Neurospora crassa OR74A: one gene and its partners. The protein of the gene in region 3 purifies or fractionates together with the protein of the main gene of each other region. This does not show direct contact. Links are inferred from orthologs where the notes say so. Each region holds a gene or a part of one and is shown on either strand. Other genes may lie near its edges.

Region 1 (7,501 bases), on a different chromosome or scaffold from region 3:
ATAATCCTACCTCTACAACAGAGAGCCGGAAAGCATCGGATCGGATCAGATCAGATCACGTCCCGTCCCGTCTTCCCCTGCTCCCGCTCTCAGCTGAAGTGAAGCCGGAAGGTGATTATTACCTGAAAGGACCATGAATGACATCTAGGGCCCCAAATGCAGAAAAGGGAACAATTTACACATTGAGATTACGTGCCGGAATCCACGACAATTAAACATCGCCCCCCTGTGAGGTGACAGTGTGATGGCCTACGCCATGGGCTTACACTGAGTTCAACACGAGGACTTCATTATACATATATCGGAACAACGCTTCATTTCCAGCAACCTCGGACCTGTTTCCTCAGCCTAGTCACTTAGCCATTGTCTTACTACAACGCCATGGCGTTGAAGTCTCCCTCCTACACGTTGAAAACTCAGTGAGCACCAGTCCCTTCGACTCTTCTCTTCAGCTTGCTACCCTCATATATTGTGATGGGGTACTCAATTGTTTGATGGCCCATCATCCAAGTCCCCATACCACTAAAGCTGCAGGTAGGTACCTTGACAGGAAAAGTATGTAGTAGGGTTTTGCCGAGAGCAAGAAATTGGATATCACTGTTCTTTCGATATTTGGGTCCGAAAGGCTTCGGTGACCGGATGTCCAGCGTGATGTGGCGTCGTTGTGTTTATTCCAGACTGGACGTCAGTGAGCTCAATACACCATCTGCTTCTGAGCAATTTGTAGAATGTATACCGCATTGACTTCTTCGCACCATGACCGCTTCAGTGCCATGGTTCTCATATAAGACAACCTGCTTCTTGCTGCTCAGCATCTGAACTTCTTCCCCCGGCAGCACTCCAACCATCCCAAGGGATTCTCACGGTATTCAAATCGTCACCACCATGGCTTCGCTCACCCTTCGAGCTGCAGCGCTAGCAGCCATCGCCCTAGTCCACGTTGGTGTCCGTGCAACAACCATCGAACTCCCTCCCTGCCTTGACCCCTTCCAGCCTTTCATCTACTCCGGCTGCTACGCCGACACCGGCAACCCTCACGCCCTCAGCCTGCGCAGCCAGCTCAACCAGCAGGACATGACCATCGAGAAATGCGTCTCTGTCTGCAAGGGTAATGGCTTTCGTTACGCAGGTCTAGAGTACTACGGCGTGTGCTACTGCGGCAACACCGTCAGCGGCCAGCAGATTGACGAGGAGCAATGCAACTACCCTTGCACCGGCAACTCCTCGCAGGTCTGTGGAGGCACTGATATCATATCCGTCTACCAGGATCCCACTTTCTTGCCGGTTGATGAGGTCACGGTTGCGGATTATGACCATTTGGGATGTTGGACTGATGATTCCGAGTACGGAAGGGCGTTGGCTTATCCCCAGGATCAGCTTGAAGGGTCTACCTTGACGACGGAGAAGTGCTTGCAAGCTTGTCGGGATGGGGGGTATCCGTTTGCCGGGACTGAGTTTGGCGGTAAGTAGCAACTTGTTACTTGATGTGGTGTGAATGAGAGCACTGGATGCTGACTTCCTAACCCACCCCTAGGCGAGTGTTGGTGCGGTGTTGTCATAGGCAACGGAACCTTCTCCGCCCCTGATAGCGAGTGCGATATCCCTTGCAACGGAAACTCCACGCAGATTTGCGGCGGACGTGCTCGTCTCAACCTCTACGTCGCCAACGAGCTTCAGTCACTCGAACCTTGTGGTTACGTGCCTCCCCCAGAAAGTAGTAGCAGCTCTTCCGTCACAGCATCCTCATCAACAACTCCAGTTGCTTCTTCGCAATCTACCTCCGACATAACCAGCTCGACGGCGACGACTTCTGACGTACCCTCTTCGACTACTACTTCTTATGTCCTCAGCTCAACCACCACCACTTCCACCACTTCCATCACTTCCACCACCCTAGCCACCACCCTAGCCACCACCACTTCGCCACCCCCTACCACTACCTTAACAACCACGTCCACCACCACCACCACCACCTCCTCCTCCTCCATCTGCAAAGAAACAGTCACTCTCCCGCCCACCTGCGAGTACAAGTGCGGCAAATGGTGTTCCTCCCCTTTGCCGGACTGGGACTCCCCCCAATCCTGCTTCCCCAGCCACGCCAACTGCTTCCTCCAAGTATCCGCCTGTTTCAAGCAAGCCGGATGGCCGGGGGCGCTCGACTGCTTCGGTTTTGCCGAGTGGTGCTCGGCCCTGAGCACCTACTGCAAGGGATCAAGCAAACCGGGGGGCATCTGCTCCAAGAAGGATTTCTGGAATCACAAGCCGCCTTCGTCGCCCTCCCTTACCGGACCTGGTGTTCCGACAACGACGGTGATTACGGTTCCTTGTCTCCCTGTTAGCACTGGCAAGCCGACATCTACTTCCGTTCCAACGTCCACCAAAGCGGCCACATTCACAACCAGCACCACCACCACCGGCACCAAATGCCCAATCCCAACATCCACCTCCCTCTGCAACCCCCCCAAAAGCAACAAACCCCCCGTAGGCGGGATCCCTCTCCCCGTAGTAACCTGCAACGACCTTCTCTCCTCTTTCTCGTCCGGTCACCCCTTCAAGCTGTACACGGACTCGGACTCGAGCAAGTGCAAGTCATACGCTCGCTCGTCGTTCTCGACAGCCTGTCTGGATGCGTGCCAGGAGCAGTACGATGATTGTGTGGATGTGTACGCCAAGGGGTGCAAGGAAGGAAAGTACGGCAAGGATGATTCGACCTCGTACGCGGGGGCGGTGCTGAAGTGTAAGGAGCAGTATGCGGATTGTACGTTGGCGAATTGGGGGAAGAATGCGGGAGCGAAGTGTAAGGTTTGGGGGACGGGGCCTTGGTGAGGTGCTGACTGCTGAGCCGTGTGTGGTGCTGGGACGCAGAAGGAAAGGAAGGGAAGCTTGGGAGAACTGGTGTTCATAAGGATGTTGCTGGACATGCGTGGTGATAGGGATGGCGGTAAGCTTGACACGAACGCTGTTCTTCGATTCTCAAGTAGGTAATTTTGTATGAGTGTTATACTCTATTCCTTTTCTGTATAATTGACATACTAATTGATCTGAATATTCGCTATCAAATAGCGACAGGAAATCTAAGCAGATATCAGCATGAAAAGTGCGGCGTAAACAAGGCTCTTGATACCTCATATGCCCAGGCCTGTTGAACAATAGCACGAACGTACAGGACAATGACTGATCAGACGCACGTGAATTTTTGAATGGGCCCTTTATTCAACTCGAGGAGCACATTGTGCTCTTGTTGTTGCCCTTTGGATCGAGTCCAACCGTCCCAAAATGATCAAATATGATGTATAAAACTTCAACCTGAACGCCCTCGCTAATGCAATTTTGTGTATTTTCTGACCAAAGACTGGGTCGCCCCTATTACCCCTGACGGGTCTTGTAGGTTTCCGTTTACTGCAGGAGCTCCTCGCAGGTCCAGTCCTCGTAGCTACGTAGGGATGTTAGCGGGTATTCGGCTAGGTGCCGGGAAAAGGACAACTTACTATCCATCAGGCATGTAACGACGGACAATCAGAGGAATCTTCTTCTCGCGCAGCTCCTTGATGGCGATTTGAAGAGGATCCGTCTCACCCTCGAGATCAACCAGCACTGGCGCGTTCATGCTACAAAGGTGGTTCCTTGTCAGCCCAAATCCGTCCCTACAGTCGTCCAAGCGCCACCGATGAGGAAACCCACCTGATTTGCAGAGCACGTGTGCCGAGGATACGAGCTTTCTCGTACTTGGTCATGTAAGGTGTCGTGGAACGCTGGTCGTTGGGAATCTTCTTGTCCTTGTGGGATTTCTCGTTGCCCTTGCCAGCGTTGGCGGCCGCGTTAGGGTCACCCGAAGTGACTATGTTGTTATCGTTTTCGGCCTCGTCGACTTCGTCGCCGGGTCTGCCCGCTACGTCGTCGTCCGCGGGCTCGGGTTCGGGCTCGTAGTACTCATCCGGGTCCTCATCGAAGGCGGGCTCGTCGCTGGCGGCTACGTGTTAGCATCTCTTGCGTTACGCATGAGTTGCGGTATCATGTGTAGAGGTTGATGCCAAGGACTAGGTGGGTAGGTGGCGTTGGAAACCTACATAGGCTCGCGATCATCGTCACCGTGGTCACCGTAGTCGGACATTTTTGGTGGGTTTGTTTAGGAGTTGATTGATGGTAAGGATAATAAGATATGGGCTGCAGCTGCACAAGTAGAGGTAGGTATGTGGACAAAATGGTATTGCCCAAAACGCGTGGATGTGGAAGACTGGACGTGTTTGGCCGACCGTGGATGCGCAAGGTGGTGAGGGAAGGGCGAAGGGCTGACAAAAGGACGACAGAAAATTCGAGTGGGGCCGCTACTTTATGCAAGGCTGAGCCGTGCCAAGACATAAAACCTTAAAGAGACATGGGGGGTAAGAAGTGATGATGTCTCATTCGTCCAAAGTAGTCTAAAGAGTAGAAGAGGGGAGGGATCTGAGAAGCCCCCACCTAGCTAACTTAAATAGGCTAAGAATGCCCAATGCACGTGACACCAGAGAAGTGGGTCACAGGGGTGGGGCCAATGGATGGGCCATCAGCTTCTTCATGGGTTCCCTTCCTCCAGGTCCCCCGAATTTCACTCGCTCGTAAAATTGCCTGCCGGTGCTGGAACCGGAAAACGTCAGATAAACTTTTTGAAGCGGCAGGGACACCCACCCCGGACGAAAAGTCCAATCGGCAGGTGCAATGCAAAGGTTCCGTCACAAATGTGAACCTCCAAAAAAAAAATCCATCCAAGCGAATTTCCCAAAAAGCGTGGAGCTCCCTCTCTCCAATGTCGAAGCTCCAACCAAGTCCAGGGTAGCAGGCCACGGCGACCAGTGCTGCTACTCCAGGCCTCAAAATGAAGCGGAAACAGGACGACGAGCGCCTTGATGGCCATGACGGCCCCGACCATGCTCAAGTCCAATCCAAGAAAAGAGCTACTGATTGGGTCCAGCAGCAGCAGGAGGAGGAACTCTCACAAGTAGAGCAGCTCGAGGCACCGGCCCTACCCTCGCAATCGCGATCGCCACCTGCTGGCGCAGAGGCGGCAGCTTCTGATGGCAACGGCAACGACAGCCTCGAACTCGACCCTGACTCGGCCTCTGTTGCCTCGGTTGCCAACACCTCCCTTACCCACGCCGATCCGACGACTACGGTAGCAGCAACTAGTATCAACACTACCACGACTCGTGCTTCACGCCGCTTCCCCTCCGATCTCAAGACCATCAGGTGCACATTCGCCGGTTGCACCAAGACCTTCAACCGCCCTGCTCGTCTGGCTGCCCACCTCCGATCTCACACAAACGATCGCCCGTTCAAGTGCCCCTACGATGACTGCGACAAAGACTACCTCGAAGAGAAGCACCTCTCCCAGCACATCAAGGGATCTCATACCAACGATCGAAAGTACACATGCCCCGAGCCCGGTTGCGGAAAGTCCTTTGTCACTAATACACGACTTCGCCGCCATGCTCTGGTTCACGAGGGCGCCGATCGCTACCGCTGCCGCGGCTATGGGGACTGTGTCCAGAGCTTCCGCAAGCACCAAACGCTCCAGAGACACATCCGAACCGTTCATCTAGGCAAGTCGGCATATCCATGCGGTAACGACGGGTGTGACGCCGGCTTCGACACTGCAAGTGCCTTGCGAAGGCACGTAGAGCGCGAGCACGGTGACCTGAAGTTTTGGTGCGACGAATGCAACGCTGAAGGAGAGGGTGATGACAGTGGAGGTCGCCGTGTTGGATTTACCACGATGCTGCTGCTTCAAGCCCATATGAAGAAGGAGCACAACAACTGCGCCTTCTGCGGTGTCAGATGCGGTACACAAAGCAACATGATGCGTCACGTTGAGCTCTACCACTCAGCCAAGACAGTCGAAGATCGAAAGACGATTGCTTGCACGTGGGAGGGCTGTGACAAAAAGTTCACGCGTGTCTCCAATCTCAACACGCACATCAAGTCTGCCCATGAAGGCCATCGTTTCGTCTGCGGACAGACCGATACTTACGATGCCAAGGTTTCGGAGATTGCGGACTGGAACTTCGCGGAAGAGGGTTGTGGCCAGGGATTTACCACCAGGGTCAAGCTGGAGGAGCATGTTCTTCATGTTCATCTTGGGAAGAAGCGTCCACCCAAGCTGTATCCCGTCCCTTCCATGGTCGCCCAGGCTCAGCAAGCTCAACAGGCTTTGCTGGACACTCGTGACCTTGCTTGCCCTGCGTACGGATGCACCGCTCGCTTCATCCGTCATGCTGATCTGGATAGACATATCCAAAATGACCATGGCAACAATGGTATCAAAGAAGAGGAGCAACAGTTGCTGCTCCTACCTCAATTGCATACAGGCGAGGAACAGGCAGCTATGGTACCATTTCCGAGTGCTGCCAACTTGAGCGTTGACGACTTAGGATATGTCATCGATCCTAGTCTAGAACCCCAGCATCAGCAAGGAGATGTCCACTCCGCATTCACCTCAGCTGGCGCTACCCCTCCCCCTCAAATGGAGCAATTCACGAATGCTCCAGTTAGCGATGGCGGAAATCTCGGCGCTGCGCCTTTCTGGCTTAGTGATCATGGAGATCCGTTCTCACTGCAACACCAGTCGCCTGTCTTTGAAGACTGGGCTGCCGACATGCAGCTGTTGATGGGCCAAGATGGTGAGGGTTCGGACCCGCAGTTTGCTAGAGCATAGATGATGCAGTAATACGGGTTCATGGTTCACAATGGGGGAATTGTCGACTGTATGATGTTGCATTGCTGAAAACAAAACGGAAAAAAGATGGGAAGGTTCACGGAAATATTGATACCCTTTTGTTATGTGGCTTTGACAGTATGTAGACCGCGTGGAGGAATGGAGATGGCTTACTTGTACGGTTACGGCGTTTGGACGGAGTAGACATATAATACCGGTTGTGGTTAACTCACCGTGCTCTCAGCAAGACTCCCTTGTTCGCTATCATTCACGAACATATAGTAGTCTTATCGTAATATTCTTTTCTTGTCCCTTTGGATGTTTCTCTCACCCTATGATTTCCTTCTTCATGTGTCATTCCAGGACTACCGCCACACTTGATTTCCCGACACATACACTGCCCGGAAGAAAAGTTCTCAGCATTATGTGATCAAGCACCACCCCCATTGACTTTGTGCAGCATGGCTAACAAAAGCAAATATATCAAAAGCAAAATTTGTCTCCTCCACAATCTCTATCCTATCTCACGCGCGTATAATTGCCCTTGCTCTGCTCCATCCTAAGACTCTCCTCCTGACTAGGCAACGGCGCGCGTCTCCTCCCTGACGAATCATACTGATCATTCCCACCATCGGGGTGAGTGGCTCCTCCCGGCGGACCACCAGCACCAGGAATCAGCGGCGGAGGCGCAAACCCAGGAGGGGGCATAGGGAAGCCCGCCGCGCCCGGCGGGGGGATTAGGCCAGGGGGCAGGATGCCGGGAGGGGGCATCGGTGCGCCAGCCGAGCCTGGCGGCGGCGGCGGTTGATAACC
Region 2 (8,162 bases), about 5.2 Mb from region 3:
TTTGCCCATAATTTTGTTCGAGTTTGGTTGAAGGTCACGTTTGTATATAGGCTAGAAGTTGTACTAGGGCTGGCTGGACGACGGGGCTTTGATCTCAAAGAGCTTTCCCGTTTTCGTCAAAGTTTGGAGCGATAAGGGGGAGAGTGTGACACCTGACTCTGACCTTTCTATCATATTGGTGCTCAGTACTCGAGAATCGGTCAGTGATCACTCACCACCAGCCACCAGCCACCAGCTCCTAGTCAGGCTGACAAGTCACCTCGACGAGGTTGAGGGCATCACGTCGGGATATAGTTGAATAGAATTGTAAGGGCTATATGACAGTGATAAGCGCACTGTATCGGCACTTGGGAGAGTACTAGTAACCCAACATCGAATCCTTGTCAATGCCGCCTATTCCGAGATCCTGGTTGGCGGATCGGCAGGCTCAGTGAGGTTGGTTCGTAGTATTTGGCTTCTCCGGCTTGCCTTAGAGCTTTGTGCTTTTGTGCTTGTGCTTGGTGTGAACTCCAGAGAGAGTTGAAGTGAATGCGGTGTGATAGTGTTCCCCCCTTTCCGGTCTGGACGGACCGTGACCGCGAAGGCGGTTCGTTCAACTCACTCAAGTCGGGGGATCTTGTACAATAAAAGGTAAGTGATCTCCCAAGGACTTACATGGCGAACAGTGCAATCCTGTAGTATATGCCGCTGTGTTTTAGGATCTAGAGAGTCTCGGGCATCACGTACAGTGAATCTGATGTATCACTTCCACGTGCTTGTGCTAATCTTTGCTTCTTGATCTCGAAATGCCCGACATTTTTTGGAGTTGTCACGAGGATCGTGACTTTTATTCTTGATCTTGAGCTTGTGCTTGATCTTGAGCTTAATATGGTAACTAGGATTCTCTGCTCGGCGATTGCCTTTACTTTTTCATCTTGTTGTTCTATGTCGTCATGTTCCCCTTTCCCTGGTTATGATTTATCGATGATACCCCTGATCATGACCCTGGCTATGAGGAGTGCTAGGTTTCCGATTTGATTCGATCGATACTGATGCAGTAGACCGGAAACATCGCCGGCGCCGCAATGCTCTCCCCAGCGTAAAACTTTGCACGTTCGAGCCCGGATCGATCCCAAGAAGTATCCAGGTGGTAATAGATAAATGGCAGGAAAAACCGACGTCGATTGAAATACCATTTCGGCTCCGGAATAACTCCACACCGGTAAGACAGTTACATGGACGAAGAATCCAACAGTACCTCTATGGAATAGCGGAAGCCGGGTGAAGAGGTTGAAAAGCAACGGAAACGAAAGAAATGAAATGGAAACTGAAACCGGAAGCCGAAGACCATCGGAATGGGTTTGACGACATCGTGCCTTGGTTGGCGGGATTGACAATGGCTGTGCCTCCCCTTACAAGCTGCTGCGGGTTTGCTCGATACATGTCCCCTCCAGCTCGCTTTGCGGTCAGGCGAGTGTGATATACTGTCCATTTATAGGTGGTGTCCCGTTTTCTTCTGTTTTCAGCCCTTCATCTTCTTCGCAGCCTAAATGGGGGTTTTATCGACCCTCTATCCTCCATGTAATGCGAACCCCCACACCCGCATGGGTATTCGAGGGGGAAAGGGAAGACCAAGTCGTCGATGGCAATGCAGATGGAAAAGCACGGCAAATCGCGAGTGCTAGGGTGAGTGGGAAAGCGCCATCCTCTCGGAGAAATCGATGGCGAATTGCTACTCTACGCCGGGGTTTTGAGGCTATTCCCGTTGGGGACGCAGGATCTAGGCTGGGTAAGACGTACTGACACTGTACCACTGACTGTCCTGGATGATGTGATTACACCGAAACAAGGAGTTGAGGGTATAGGGTGTAGGTGCATGCCCAGATATATGCAAATATCACACCGGGCAGTGTTCAAGATCCCCTAGACCACTGGTCAAAAAAAATATCAGTGACGAACATACCTACTTTGTGTGCTAAAAGTTTGTCTTGAGCACGGCAGTCGACTCTCAATTCCCTTCCACCTCTCAGCATGATCTACAGCCTCCTTTCGGGTCCTGACAGCAATGACAGCTTAAAAGGCGCCAAAGAGACATTGCCGGCACGGAATCCTCCAAAGTTTTTCAACAACACAAAAAGAGATGGTAGCACAACGTCGATGGCTTTCCTATTGTATTACAATCATAGCAAGTGCAGCAATGTTTAAAGATACCTCTATGATAGAGGGAACATGAGATGAAATAGAGCGGCACGGAAGCCTCTCCGCGTCGGTGGAATGGGATTATAGCTGAACCTCCAGCGGCATAGGTAGCAGATTCAACCCCAAATGGATATGATGACAACTTGGTACAAGTCCAGATATCCTCCTCCAACTTTGGCCTTCTTTCTTTGGTGTTTGATGCCCACACCCCGATTCAACTTCTCGCCTCCGCTTTACTTCATTCTGGGGATTTCTTCACACCGATCTGGCCCCCACTGTTACCCCCTTCTGCTCTAGTTCGCCCGACGTATTTCGGCCATACTATTCTTCCACAAAGTCAAGAGATATCGTAGCCTCACGATGGACAGGTCACCGGCCAAACGTTTACTGCATAGTATCAACTCGACGACTTAGTGGATGAACCTCCCCCCTTGTCGTTTTATTCTTTTCCCCACGTCTTCACTGCTGCGTAACCCCCGCGCTTCGTTGAAGATTATGGAACCATTGAGATATGGTGCTTCAAGGTCCTTGTAAATGTTGCGGGAGGATCGTAGATGGGCACGCACCAAGTTGTCAGCTTGAAATGGGAGGTTTCCCCCCACGGCAACTGAGCCATCACAACATCCCACCTCGTTGGGTACCATCACATGGTATAATAGCCCGAGACTGAATGCTTCCTAGTCAAGACGTTCAGGAGATAGACCGGGGAGTCGAGTTTATGAGCCAAGCGAGTGCTGCGGTGTCTCTTATACTGTCTTTGCTCATGGTAACTGAGCACCTTAGCTGAACAAGGATTATTCCCTCTAAGTACAATCGCGCGAGATGCCCTCTGTGGTATCGCAGACAGTCGTTTTTTGTTGGTCAGTCTAAGCCAAGCACCCGAGAACCTTGAGGCATTGTACCCGCAAAACTCTGAAGACATCATCATGTGCCCATGTATTAAGAGCGACATGTCCTCCATGTCGCAGATACGTCGATAATGTCAGTTACCCAAATACCAGTAATCACGCTCAAACACAGAAAGCATGCTGCAAATACCTCAAAAAGAAAAAACCGTCAATAGACTCCAGGCGCCGCTTGTGGCCCCAATAATGCCTCAAAACGCCACAGACAAAGGTTTTACGCACCCCAAGCAAATCATGACAAAAATACCAACCCCGTTGAGTCTCATTCGGACGAGACATCTCCTTGAAAGCCCTTGAGCGTGTTACCGCCGCACTCCCGCGTGCAATACAACAAGGGGCTCGATCATATTGCCGCCCACGCGCTGCTAAGGGGCAAACATGATCCTTCATAAACCGCCACAGAGATCCTGAAACGGCCCTCGATACGGATGGCTTTCAGCATTGCCCAGAAGACTTGCTTCTTGACCGGGCCAGAGGCTTCATCAGCCGACCAGAACTGTTGATGTAAACCCAGGGTATACTCTAACTCGTGGCTTCACTAGGATTCTGTTGAGCGAGTACCTCGTAGTAGTTGAGCGAGTCCAAACCCTTCGTTTGGGAATGACCTTCTTGCATCTTGCAAGTCCCTTATGCTTGCAGACACCTGGAAAGGAAGAAACTGGTTAATAACAAACAGCACAACCACGCCGCTAAGACGTGGAAACTCACCCAAGGAAATCTCCGTTGATGCTGCCAATGGCATACATCTCACCCAATTCCGTTCTTAAGCCACCAATCTTGACGCGCACGTGCGTACCGGGCTCAATGACCATATCAGCGTTATTGGTAAACTGAGGAGGCGTCGCGTTGGGGTCGAAGTGGATTTCTTCGGGCATCAGCTATAGTTCTCTTGTCAGCGATCGAAGTTCGAGGGCATCGTATGTGCGTATCCAAAAAGACCGTAGGCGTCATCGTACGTGAGATGAAACGAAGATGGAGAGCGGGCCAGCTTGGCAGAAGAAGCCGTGAGGATTGATGGAAAAGACAATAGCATCCACCTGTAGGGACTCCTCGTTAGACCATCCGAACGGAGAGAACACCACCGAGAATCTTCGCTGTAACGAACCACTTCGCCTTTGAACGGCCTCCAAACCACAGCACGGTACTTCACAGTGAACTCGGCCAGGCCGTTTCCGGGGAGGATGCGGCCCTCGCTAACGTCGAACGCATCCATGATGGCAATGATGTAGTAATCACCGGCACACGTCCCTTCCACGTCCTTGACCAATTTGGTCGTGACAAGTTCGTGCATGTTCCTGCCGAAATAGGATGGATGCAGGGTAACCCGCCGCTCGAGGTTATGGAGGAAAAACATTGTGGCGGGTTAGTACTGTGGGATCGGGGTGTCGTCGGCTGAAAGTGGGCGTCGATAAGACGATGCCCTGGAGAGGTTATGCGCCTCGGGATGCCTTCGCGCGGCTGTCGTGTCGAGGGGTGCGACGGCGGCGGCAGTGCTGTCGAGACTTGGGCAATTGAAGTCGCGTGTCGGGACGAAAATGACAGTGAGGGCGAGATGCGAAAATCGACAGCAAGAATGTTGGTGTAGGGATCGTGTCGAAGGTGATACTTGGTTTTGTGGGGAGACGTCGTGACGGGAGAGCAAGGCTGACGGAATACACTAGATATCGACTATGATGGAACAAAAGCTTGGAGGTTCTGGAAGTGGTAGCCTCCAACACAGAGACCGCCGCAGACGCGGTTTCGGGACTTTGCCTTGCGAGCTTGGCCTGTCACTCGTCCCTTGACGTTTAGCACATGGCTCGTGCACAATCTGCAAGGAACAGCACTGACCACACGGAAGCGGTCTTGGCGCTGCCGGGATTCGGTGTTGTCCACAACTTCAACACCAAATATCCCAATTCCATCATATCATTCAACCAGACCAGGCATAAGATGCTCGTTGTAAGGCTTGTGAAATAATCTGCTGTACTATCATGTAGCGGGTTTTTCTTAAGGGAGTGTGTCTTCTACCAGCCCCCAGCGTTCCTTAGTCGTTCATGTAGCTGTAAGCTCGAGTAAAGGTACCATGGCTCATGCCGTTTCAACATGTGACAAAGACAGACTGTCGAATGATGTCTAAGAAGGAAGATTCGAATGGCCACAGCAAAGACAGTATGGTGGTTCGAGAAGCCAAAAGATGAGAACGCTCATAAACAAGACTTGAAACGGGTAACTCACGATTGATCACCTTTCTTACACCACAGCTGTTGGCCTTCCACTTTAGGTTGTGACGTTAACGTTCGTTGACCGAGAGGTAACCGCGTCGGTAGGAGCACCGACAGAGGCGGGGCACGTTCGGGTCCTGTCAGCATGCGTTTGATAGCGCTGTGGCCGTCGAGTTGGAGGGTTTGCGGGGGTGGGCCGGCCGGGAGCCTTAACAGGTTCCCTTGTTCCTGTTGATGGCGACTCCACAACCGAGGCATCCACACGTAGCTTTTAGCCCTCTGAGAATATGAAGATGGATATGCGGAGTGGAACACCAGACAGACTCCCACATCACCAGATCCCGCCGCTCTCTGGTCTTCATTAGCTGCACGCTCTGCTTTTCGAACACTACCAATTCCACCTGTTGCTCGTTTATACACATGTGGCAGTGATTCATTTCCTCTCTTCACTGGTCGCCCTCGACGCAACTCGACTTGTCATCTACTGTCGCTCTCCTGTCTCGGGTCTCACGGAACTGAGCGAGATCTCGCCATCCATTCACACCCTGAACCTCAAGGCTGTCTACAGCACCAACCTAATCATACCGGGCAAATCCGAAGCATCACTTTCACCATGTCCCTCAACCTAGAAAAGCAACTCACCTTTGTAAGCTTTGTTGCCTGAGTTTACCAAGCTCTAACCTACATGCTCCAAGTCGGCCTGCTCGGGCACCCTTGCTTGTTTCGTCCACTTCACCTCGCTCGAAATTCACGAACTGGAGCCTTTTGCTAACTTGTCCTCTCCCTGCTTGCAGTATGGTGCTTACCACTCTAATCACGTTAATGTAGTCATCCACATGATTTGTGTGCCTTTAATCCTCTTCTCAGCCTTTGAAATTGTATGAATTCTTGAACCACTTTCCCTCGTCCCTAGCGACATGTTCTCACACGCCTCATGCTTCCAAACTAGGCCTCCAATTATGGACCATTCTTCACACTCCCCTCCTGGCTTCAGGTACCGTACCTAGAGCCAAACCTGGGCACCTTTGCGGCTCTGACATGGGGCGGACTATACGTTCTCCTCGAGCCGGTCGCCGGCACCGCATTGGCGCTCATCTGCCTCGGTGCTTGCGCCTTCACCAACTATCTTCGCATTGCCGACCCAGTCTTGACCACCAAGGTTGCCATTGTCGTTCACATTGTGAGCTGGCTGGCGCAGTTCCTCGGCCACGGCAAATTTGAGGGCCGTGCCCCTGCCCTCCTGGACAACCTCTTCCAAGCCATCTTCCTCGCTCCGCTGTTTGTCTGGCTTGAACTCTTGTTCATGCTGGGCTACCGCCCGGAGCTCAAGACGCGCGTGGATAAGGCGGTGGCGGTCGAGATTGCCAAATTCCGGGAGAGCAGGAACGCGAAGAAGGCGCAGTAAGGGAAATTCGGCATCCTTTACCGTCCAGCTGCCAGATTAGGAGAGAACCCCGAGGTGACGAGTTGGATTTATGTCAGGGGCGGGTTCAGGGGTAGAGATGTCATGCAACGATGTCAACGACAGGCATGAGCAGCTGTGACTCGACTCTGAGGTTAATGATATCGTGGACGATGTTTGAGCGGGATTTGAACTGGCCCGCGTCTTTATCACGGTCTTGTAGCGCAAGACTTGCTTGTCAAACACGCGGTTCAATGATTGAGATGTGGAATCGCTGCTGAGGTTGTTAGCGTCTGATCCCAAACGGGAGTTTTGATAGTCTATGGACTCACTTTTACTGTACATTAGAGAATAATAATAAATGGCCAGAAGGATCACTGAACTTGACAAGCTGATATCGGCTGTCTAACCGATTGAGATTCTAGAGACCTATAACACGTCAAATTAAGGTCAATTAGAGCAGAAAGTCCCCCACGTCGAAGTCATTCATGAGAAGCAGAAGATGAACGGGAGTTATGACGAAGTACTCATGGTAGACGGTCACTAGAGATGGTGGTCATTGATTTTCAACCAAGAGACCAATGCGGCTGCTTTGTATCATTACTGCTTTGCCAGGCTGCGGTTCATGCAATGTGAGGGAGGACTGCCAAGTGCCTCCCGTCCACCCCAAAGAGCGTACAACCTAGATCGAATAAGGAAAATCATCGGAATTACATTCCGTCACAAGCCACCTCGAAGAGCTGAGCGAGGAAGGCCACAATTAGATTCAAAGGTTCTCCCACAACTGCAATGCTCCCGTTAGAGGTGTACACGTAGTATCCAAGCCCCACCTGGAGTGAAGTGTTGCCTTCATTGTCAGTTGGGCTTCAAACGCTGTTGCCGCCATCTCGGGCAGCCTGGTGAGAGATGACAAGAAGAGGGTGCAGTGAGAACAACCCAAACGGTGACCCAAGCCCCCACACTCCGTTGCCTGGTCAGTTGATAAGATAAAGCCCCCCCGCCTCCACGGAATCGCTAACATCGCCGTCGCTCCACTGGTTCTTTTTCACTTCGCACCACAACTACCCCACCACGTTTCCCTTCCAAAACAACACAACAGATACCGCAATCGCAAATCGCATTTCACATCTTCGCTTGCTTCCTCACCAGAATTTTATATAAGACCTCCTTGCTTCGCGCGACTACCCACCAATCTCTACAGGCCACGGCTAGATCATCGTCAAACACTATGGATCCGTTCAACCTCCCCATCGAATGGGCTCTCCAGCTTCTTACTGGTAAGTCTTGCGCCAACCTGTCGCACTCCCCGAACTTCCCCAGTCTTCACCAGCATGCCAGCCCAAAAAGAATGCAAAAGAGCCCAAAGCGCCACGTTGCGATTCACACTTTGACGTGGACATCTTTTGCTTTTACCTCATCATAAAACCCGTCACCTTCCTCCCTCTTTCTGTGATGCATCCCGTCCGCTAACCT
Region 3 (7,701 bases):
ACTTTTGTCGAAGCCAGGTGATCAATTTAGGAGGTCACGTCGCTCATGGTCAGTTCGTGATTTGTCTCATCCGAAAAGAGCGATTCGCTACATTGACTGAGCTCGTCTTCATGGCTGAGTGGCCGCGGTGTCTCTTGATCACTACTTAACGGCTGCTATTAGTGGCAGCTCCTTGACAGGACTCAAAGGCTGGGCTGGGTAATTTCAAGCTTACCTAGCACGTAAGGGACCGTGGTCTTTGACGATGACATGTTGAATTTGTAAGGAGCTGCTGCGAATTGGAATTTTCGCTTTTAGCTTCCTTTCCAATCGCTTTTTCGGTGGATTTGGAGATTTGAGAGGTTGAAGGCCGATGCTAATGCCGCCAACAAACTGTTCGTTTTTCTACGCGAATTGTTACTACCAGTCTGTTACAGGCTCACTCTCGTTATGAGGACCAGGAATAACCATGGTAAAGGGAACCTCATCCAAGATCATTTAGGACTTCACTCCGAACTAGAGGCATGCTCCCTCACCAACTCCATCATATTTCGGAAATGAGCTTGACTCACCTTGATCACTTCATTAGGATCGATAAGATCCATGGTTTCTGCCTCCTCGACATCACCGTCACCCCCACAGTCGTCGACAACTCCCACCTTCACGATACTTCCCCTGTTCATTGAGGCAGCAGACTCAACCCCCCCATCACTCCAGCCACGCTCTTGAACCCCAGAAGAAGCCTCCCGTAGGTCCTGGATCTTGGCTAGCAACTCTCTAGTCAACTGGATCCTCCCTCTGATTTCATCAATAGCTCTATCCGTTGTTGCTCTTTCGAGGGCGCAACTCTCGCAACACCTGTCAACTCGGTATGTTGAAAGCGGATGCGTCCACATGACATTGCAGCCTTCGTCGATCTTGCCTTGGTCGAAGTTGCGTTCTGACTGGCACTTCTTTGTTATGCCTAGCCAGGTGAAGTGGCCGCATTTGCGGTAGATGAGACGATGATGGATACACATATCTAGTAGGTGTTGTGTTGTTGTCTGATATTAGTTTGGACAAAGGGATGGCACGTAGTGAAGGATAAGTACTGGTATCAGAAACATGATGATGTTTGGCACACATGGTATTGGCGGTGGACATCGCTGCTTATAATGTTATTCATTCCGTGCTGATGGAATGAGAGTCTGGTTCAATGTTTCAGCACAAGACAAAAGCAAACCAACAGTATTGTTATCTGAGATCATGTTCTGAACATAGCAGAAAATCAGTTGTGACATGTTTGCGGACAAAGACTTTGTATTGTCAACACTAGTGGTGCCATTGATTGGTCAGAGAAATGAGGACAACGAAAATTAGAGACAAACACACATGTAATAAGTTCCAAGGTCTGCTTTTGATCAAACATCAAGATCCTATGGGCAAATCCTATCATTGACTTTCCTTGGCTTTGTGGTTCAAATACATTGGATGATAGACATGAAAGAAGTTCCGACTTGTCATTGGTACCGTAGTCTAAGAACCATGGACTAAGGGAGGGCATGAATACCTGTGGCTTTCATCGCATTCAACAGATATACACCCAATTATCAAGCTTGAAGTCAACCCATAATACTGTTTCCTAAAACCTCCTTGAAATCTCTTGCCCATGCCAACTTTATGCCTTCCCGACCCTCCGACACATGCGGCACCTCAAAGCCCAGCCTCTTTAGGGTCCCCAATAACGTGCTCTGCTCCTCCTCACCCTCATTTACCACAACGATCCCTGTATCCGCTCTCAACAAACACTCCAGATCCGTCACCGAGTCGCCAAAGTACACGCTTTTACGCTTTTTGCTCTCCCCGGCTGCCTCTTCCAGCAGCATCGTCTCAAACCCCTCAAGTTTATCCTTAGCAGTCATCATCACCTTCCCGCCCATTTCCTCCGGTCCTTCCAGCTGTCCGCCAGGCCACTTAATCTCGTTAACCCTCTTAACAAACTCACTCCGGTCCGGATCTTCAGGTTCTATCACCCCTTCAACGAACGACCTGGACCAGTTCACGCTCACTAGCCCCAATTTGTCTCCCCTCGCCTTAGCTTGTTGCACAAACTCCGAAAATCCCTTTCTCACCCTCACTGCTTTCCCTTCATCCCCGTCCCAGTCGGGATTCCATTCCTCGCCAATCCGTCGAGCCTGTCTCCCAAACTCTTCCCACTGCTCACTTGTCAACCTGGCAAAGAACCCTGTATTAACAACTCTCTCCGCACTAGACAGTTCAACGGTTTGCAAGCTCTCTAGGTACGCCAGCTCCTGCGCTAATAGTTTTCTATACTCGGCTTTGGGGACGTATAACTCTTTATGCTTTGCGTAGTCGGCGAGGTATAGGTCGACTATCCGTTTCCAGTTTTCGGAAGCACTTTGTTGAGAGTAGGCGCAACCGCGAGACGAGATGGCAAATTGAGCGAGCACGTTGATAGTGTCTTGCTGGGTAACGGTACCGTCGAAGTCAAAGACTATAAAGCGAGCCATTCTTTTGGTAAGGTTGCGGGTTATGCTTTGATGAGCGGGTTTCCAGAAAGGCATTGAACTTGAAAGGAGGTTGGCTCGGATCAGAATGAATGTGGCTTTATTTAGGGTTCAAGTTGTGCTATCCCGAAGGTGGGTGGAGGTAAGTAGGTAATGGAAACTCCAGGTGAATTGTAGCCAGGACAAGAAGGAAAGCACCAGTAGCCATAGCATTTCTTGGCCAGTAAGAATCGGGAATGATTGACATAGGGCCCCACTTCATTTATGGATAATGTTGTTGACCAAAGGATCGCCCAAAGAGTTGTACCAACGTCACGCATTGTGACTAACACTTGTAATGTAAGAGCCTTTGCATAACCAACGACTGCAACGCTTTGACGCAATTAAAGGAACAAATAACCCAAACTGGAAAACCGACTCTTGTTCATTGATGCAACGGGTATCATTGTATGAGCATGGTCTTGAAAGACCGCTCGTCTTGCGAGCAAAGGAAAAACGCAGCAAACCCAGTCTACTCTAAACGCCTGACGCAAAGTAAGTGAATGAGTCAGAAGGAAGATCGCATCCATCATGACAGCGCTCAGTCCTGTCATCTTAAAACAGGACGTCCTCCATCTTGATATCGTCGTCGTCCTCGTCCTCAGATGCGATTTCGGGTTTGGGAGCCGCTTCGTTGGTTGGTGCCGGCAGGTCCTTATCAGAAATCATACTTTGGTATTCCGGTTTGAGAGACCAGTGGTTTGCAAAAGTACCAGTTCGGTGAATAACGGCAATCTTGTCCAAGCACTCTCGAATGAACGCCTCGGGCTGAGGAATCCGAGAGCGCAGCGCCTTGATGGACCAGTACATGTAGACGGAGAAGCATTTGGCGAGCTCGTCGAGCAGCTGGTTCTCTGGCCAGCGAGCTGTCTTGTTGTCCATCTTCTTGGCCTTGCTCGGAGCCTCGGTCGTGCGCTATTGTTTGCTATTAGTGAAAGCTCTAGTGGTGATATGTCTTCAAGTACACGCACCAGAAATGTTTCCCAACCCTTGGGATCCGTGATACCATTGGGTGGCAGACGATCCAGGACCTGTACTGTATGTTTGGGAGCCGTCTGCTTCTGGCCTCGGGCAGCAAGCGCATAGTCTGTCTCGGGATTTTCCAAAGGAGTGGCGACAACCTCACGCTTGATTGTTGCTGCAATCGCCGTTTGTTCTGAACTCTTAAGTTAGCACCTATCAAGGCAGGCCAGTTGAGATTGGGTGTAACGAACTCGGGATGGCCTTCTTGGTGTACTGCTGTCCCTTCTTTCCGCGCTCCTGAGGTGGCTCCGACTGCTTCATCTGCTGGCGCACAAGGTGTGCAGGTATGCCCTGAGCTAGAGCCTCAGCCCGCTCCTTGTTCTTGGCGGCATAACTTGGGTGATCATGTTCACCAAAGATGAAGGTGTTGTTGACGTTGGCATCCACCATGTCGAGGTTGTATTCCTTGGGAATATCGTAGTGTTGTGGAAGATCGTCGAGGAGAATTTGTAGCTTCTGAAAGCCCAAACAGTCTCAGTAACCTATTGAAAACGTAGTGCTCGTCAGGGAGTGCTGCTACTGACCTCCGGTTGACCATCTTGCACAATTCGACGAACTTTGCCAATCTGAATCTCAGCATCATCGGGAAGCGAAGCCCATGCTTGCCAGACATACCCCGGAAGGCGAGCCAGATAAGCGTTTTTCAAGGGAAAATCATTAGGATCATAGAATCCCAAGTCGGCTGATTCGTCAAGCTCGTCTTCGGCGAAGGCTGCGTCCGGGTCAGGCTTAATTCTCATTGGATCGGCCATGATTGGAGTTGGTCGCTGTGACAAGACTAGCAAATATTAATATGTGCGTAAAATGGCCTTTCGTTCGCTGGTTGTCGGCGTCTTGTGGTAGCGTGGACGGAAAGTTGGGGCGTGATTGTCGTGGTCGTTGTTGTTGTAGAGAGGTTGCCTGGTTGAAAGCAGCCGCGAACGTCAACGTCAGGACAAAGACCGTTGAACCTTGGATACGTACCTGTATACTATTATGTAAGCCGCTACCTGATCCTAGCGCGACCCGCTCTCCCGCAAGCGGAGCGGCTAGTGGGGTCTCTGGTGGCAAGTACTTAGCTGTACCTAGGATCCTGCATACATCTTTCAGTTAAAGGTTGACTTCAGTCTGGTGAAGGCGCCTGTGGTTTTGGATTTCTCTGAGGGCAGTTCAAACTTGGAGTCTCATAGGTTGCAGTATGGCTGTCTACGGGAGCGTTCTTGTTTGTATCCGGCGTTATTTTTTTGGGCGTAAAGAAAGGAACAGAAGTGGAAGTAAGGTATGAAGAGTGCCTTGGGTCTTTTTGGAAACAAGCCGATGGTAGCTGATTAGGAGGAAATGTGAGCTCACCACGGGGCATTGAGGCTTGGTATCTTGCATAAACTGCTTTCCTCGACGTAGGTAGTGTCCATACTATCATATGTGCACAGCATAGCTTCCCAATGTTCAGGTCCTGCCTGGTTGGTCGTGCCCTGACTGGTTGACGCATTACTTACTTAACTCCATGGCCTTCTTTCTCTGATAGCGACCTTGGCCGTTTGTGATTGGCTGACCTCTGGCGCATCCCCCCTCAAAAGATCACTGGCAGTTCGCCGCCGTCCTTGAACATCCGAACCAAAATCCTTCTTGCACCCATCATCCTCTGTTTTGCGCGCCGCCACAATCATCCCAACAACAACGTTACCTTATCGCATCGAACAAACGGCACCAGCAACATCGCGACCTTTATCATATTTTCTTCAATCTAAATAACCGACAAAGACCGGTACTGCTTGATCGTGGAACGTGACCGCAATATACCGATACGCTTTTAATATTGAAATTGCAGCAACAGCTACTTGTATTGGCTCTTGGATTCGAACAAAAAGATAACAAGATGACAATGTCTGCCGAGGAACACGAGCTGATGGAGAGGATTGCCCGTGTGGCCGGTCAGATCAACCAGCACAAAAATCAACAAGCAGGCCTTGTTCCGCCGCAGAGCAGCCACGCACCACCGCATCACCGTACGTCCGTGGAGTATCATAACAGCAACCGTGCTGGTATTGACGGTCTTGAAGACTCAGGTTATTCTGGAAGCTGGCGTCATCAAAGAGGAGGCTACCCATACCCGACCCGCGCCCATTACACCAAGCCTGCCCACCGTCACAGGACCTTGGTGCTGAACGGCGCGTCTCAACAAGGTAAAGCAGGTCCGCCCAGTTCAGGCGCCGCGCTCGACTCGTCCCCGTCGTCCTGGGTAGCAAAGAACGACCGTCACCTTCAAATCATCAATTCGTCCATCTATCATAAGGAAGCGCAGGCTCGCACTCGGGCCATTGAGCAAACTCTGCGCCAGAAGCAACAGCAGAGAGATGATCTGGAACGAACCAAGTTGATCAACCATCTACACCGTGCTGGCGATCGGTCGGCAGCGGCACCAAACCAATATGAACTAACCGTGCAGGGTATACGTTTTGCCGTTACGAAGAACGGAAGCAAACTTGTCAAGATTCCCGGTGCGTCGAAACCGCGGCCAGAAGTGCTGGATGTGCCGAATACTCACCCTTTCACAGGCGATCTCAACTCAGGGCCGACCCCGAAAATGGCTATCGTAGGCGGTGTCAAGTTCTACCGCAGCAAGAACGGGAATTTGTACCGCCATGGTATTGTTAAAGCGCAGCGGTATGTGGCCCGGTCCCTTTTGAATCATCCGCTAATTCTAGTTTGCGATAGGCAATCCGGCGCTTTCAAGAAGGTCAACGTGCCTTGTCGCAATTTCTCCATGACCGGTAACTCCAACTTTTCAGATTTCGGAACCTTAACCGACACCACGTCGAAATGACTGGGTCTGGTAAGTCCAAACGATGTTTATACTGACATCCCCCGCAGGTTCATGCACCAAAGGCCCTCGGTGCCGATATATCCACGACCCAGCCAAGGTTGCCATTTGCAAGGACTTTCTCCAACAAGAAGAATGCATCAACGGTGACTCTTGCGATCTTTCGCACGAACTCTCCGCGGAACGCACCCCCACGTGCTTGCACTTCATTAAGGACAGTTGCACCAAACCTGACTGCAAATTCACTCACGCAAAGGTGTCTCCAGCTGCCTCGGTCTGCCGAGAATTTGGCCTCTACGGCTACTGCGAGAAGGGTGCAAGCTGCATCAACCGCCATGTTTTCGAATGTCCCGACTTCAGCAACACTGGCGTGTGTAATACCAAGGGCTGTAAACTGCCGCACCGGGAGAGGGCAAGCGTCTTGCGCAGGGTCAATGCCCGCGACGACGCGGAGATGGAGGATCTATCCAGCGACGACGATTCAGTCGATAGCGACGATATCGACTCGGACGACGTTGACGAGTTTGTTGGCCAGGACGACGATCCTGACTTGGATTTCGCCGAGCAAAAGGACTTCATCAAGTTTTGATTAGTGCAGTCCTGGCTCGTTTGTTTTGGTCCTTGGTTTTTCCTAAGCCTTGCTGGCTTATTGATACCCTTTGATGTTTCTGTTTTCTGTAGCGCAACCCGTTACACTTTCCGGGTTGGCAGTGGGTATAGGAGGATAATAAAAGTAAAAAAAGGAGGAAGAGAAAAGCAAAAGGAAAAAAAAGAGAGAAAAGAAGATGTCACTCTGAAGAACAGCCAAGACTAGGCAATTTATTATAGATATAGGAGTGCATGACCGCACTTGGTGCATGATTACAATGATTGGCCTGTGGTGAACGTCGACCTTGATGTGCTGCGGCAAGCTCCAAGCAGGTACCGCAAAATGTTATCCTGTTCATCCAATGGCTGCTGAGAGTTAGTCTGCCGAGAGCTCAATAGCCACACCATCACTGCCATTCCTTCTTCACTCGGGCCCGGAGTATCATAGATCAATCACCCCGCATTCGCAACCTTAACCCCATATGCTCTCCGCTAAATTATACTCGTATGAATTCACCGCTGCCTAACGAGAGTTTAGCGACGGGATGCCCTTCTCTTGGGCATCCGGATTTCTGTTTAGAAGTAACTCGCCGCTTACACTATCCAAAATCCATGTAATCACTCCTCTTATGACCCCTTAATGCCGTACACGTATATAGATCAGCACCTGCAGATGTCCCACATTCCATAATACTACTAGTCTCATGATCTTTCTATACCTAACTCCCACCTCCTCTCCCGCACTCCTGTGGATAGTCAGTAAGG

The links. Proteins that work in one complex are often made in the same cells at the same time.
Region 1: the proteins of NCU03047 (region 3) and NCU11012 purify together in Saccharomyces cerevisiae (affinity purification with mass spectrometry; 3 studies listed by BioGRID, with this or other methods). This does not show direct contact. The link is inferred for Neurospora crassa OR74A from reciprocal best matches to the Saccharomyces cerevisiae genes TFG2 and RPO26.
Region 2: the proteins of NCU03047 (region 3) and NCU02661 purify together in Saccharomyces cerevisiae (affinity purification with mass spectrometry; 4 studies listed by BioGRID, with this or other methods). This does not show direct contact. The link is inferred for Neurospora crassa OR74A from reciprocal best matches to the Saccharomyces cerevisiae genes TFG2 and RPB7.

The regions. Positions count from the first base shown.
Region 1 is NC_026503.1:2,364,083-2,371,583, reverse strand, and holds NCU11012 (DNA-directed RNA polymerase I), read right to left. Parts: upstream 4,415-7,501; 5' UTR 4,112-4,414; coding exon 4,068-4,111; intron 3,964-4,067; coding exon 3,682-3,963; intron 3,609-3,681; coding exon 3,489-3,608; intron 3,434-3,488; coding exon 3,397-3,433; 3' UTR 2,866-3,396; downstream 1-2,865. Other genes in the region: NCU00039 (hypothetical protein), read left to right, coding at 886-1,462, 1,535-2,826; NCU00038 (C2H2 transcription factor), read left to right, coding at 4,853-6,216, 6,342-6,396; NCU00037 (polyadenylation factor subunit 2), read right to left, coding at 7,208-7,501. UniProt on the Saccharomyces cerevisiae protein: DNA-dependent RNA polymerases catalyze the transcription of DNA into RNA using the four ribonucleoside triphosphates as substrates.
Region 2 is NC_026501.1:3,097,750-3,105,911, reverse strand, and holds NCU02661 (DNA-directed RNA polymerase II polypeptide), read right to left. Parts: upstream 5,011-8,162; 5' UTR 4,438-5,010; coding exon 4,189-4,437; intron 4,121-4,188; coding exon 4,040-4,120; intron 3,962-4,039; coding exon 3,792-3,961; intron 3,727-3,791; coding exon 3,711-3,726; 3' UTR 2,866-3,710; downstream 1-2,865. Other genes in the region: NCU02660 (DUF962 domain-containing protein), read left to right, coding at 5,901-5,933, 6,082-6,165, 6,237-6,692; NCU02659 (hypothetical protein), read left to right, coding at 7,918-7,966. UniProt on the Saccharomyces cerevisiae protein: DNA-dependent RNA polymerase catalyzes the transcription of DNA into RNA using the four ribonucleoside triphosphates as substrates. Component of RNA polymerase II which synthesizes mRNA precursors and many functional non-coding RNAs.
Region 3 is NC_026501.1:8,297,518-8,305,218, reverse strand, and holds NCU03047 (hypothetical protein), read right to left. Parts: upstream 4,434-7,701; 5' UTR 4,301-4,433; coding exon 4,073-4,300; intron 4,005-4,072; coding exon 3,740-4,004; intron 3,682-3,739; coding exon 3,497-3,681; intron 3,441-3,496; coding exon 3,081-3,440; 3' UTR 2,726-3,080; downstream 1-2,725. Other genes in the region: NCU16461 (hypothetical protein), read right to left, coding at 486-998; NCU11240 (hypothetical protein), read right to left, coding at 1,581-2,489; NCU03048 (CCCH zinc finger protein), read left to right, coding at 5,404-6,025, 6,083-6,191, 6,243-6,298, 6,399-6,937. UniProt on the Saccharomyces cerevisiae protein: TFIIF is a general transcription initiation factor that binds to RNA polymerase II.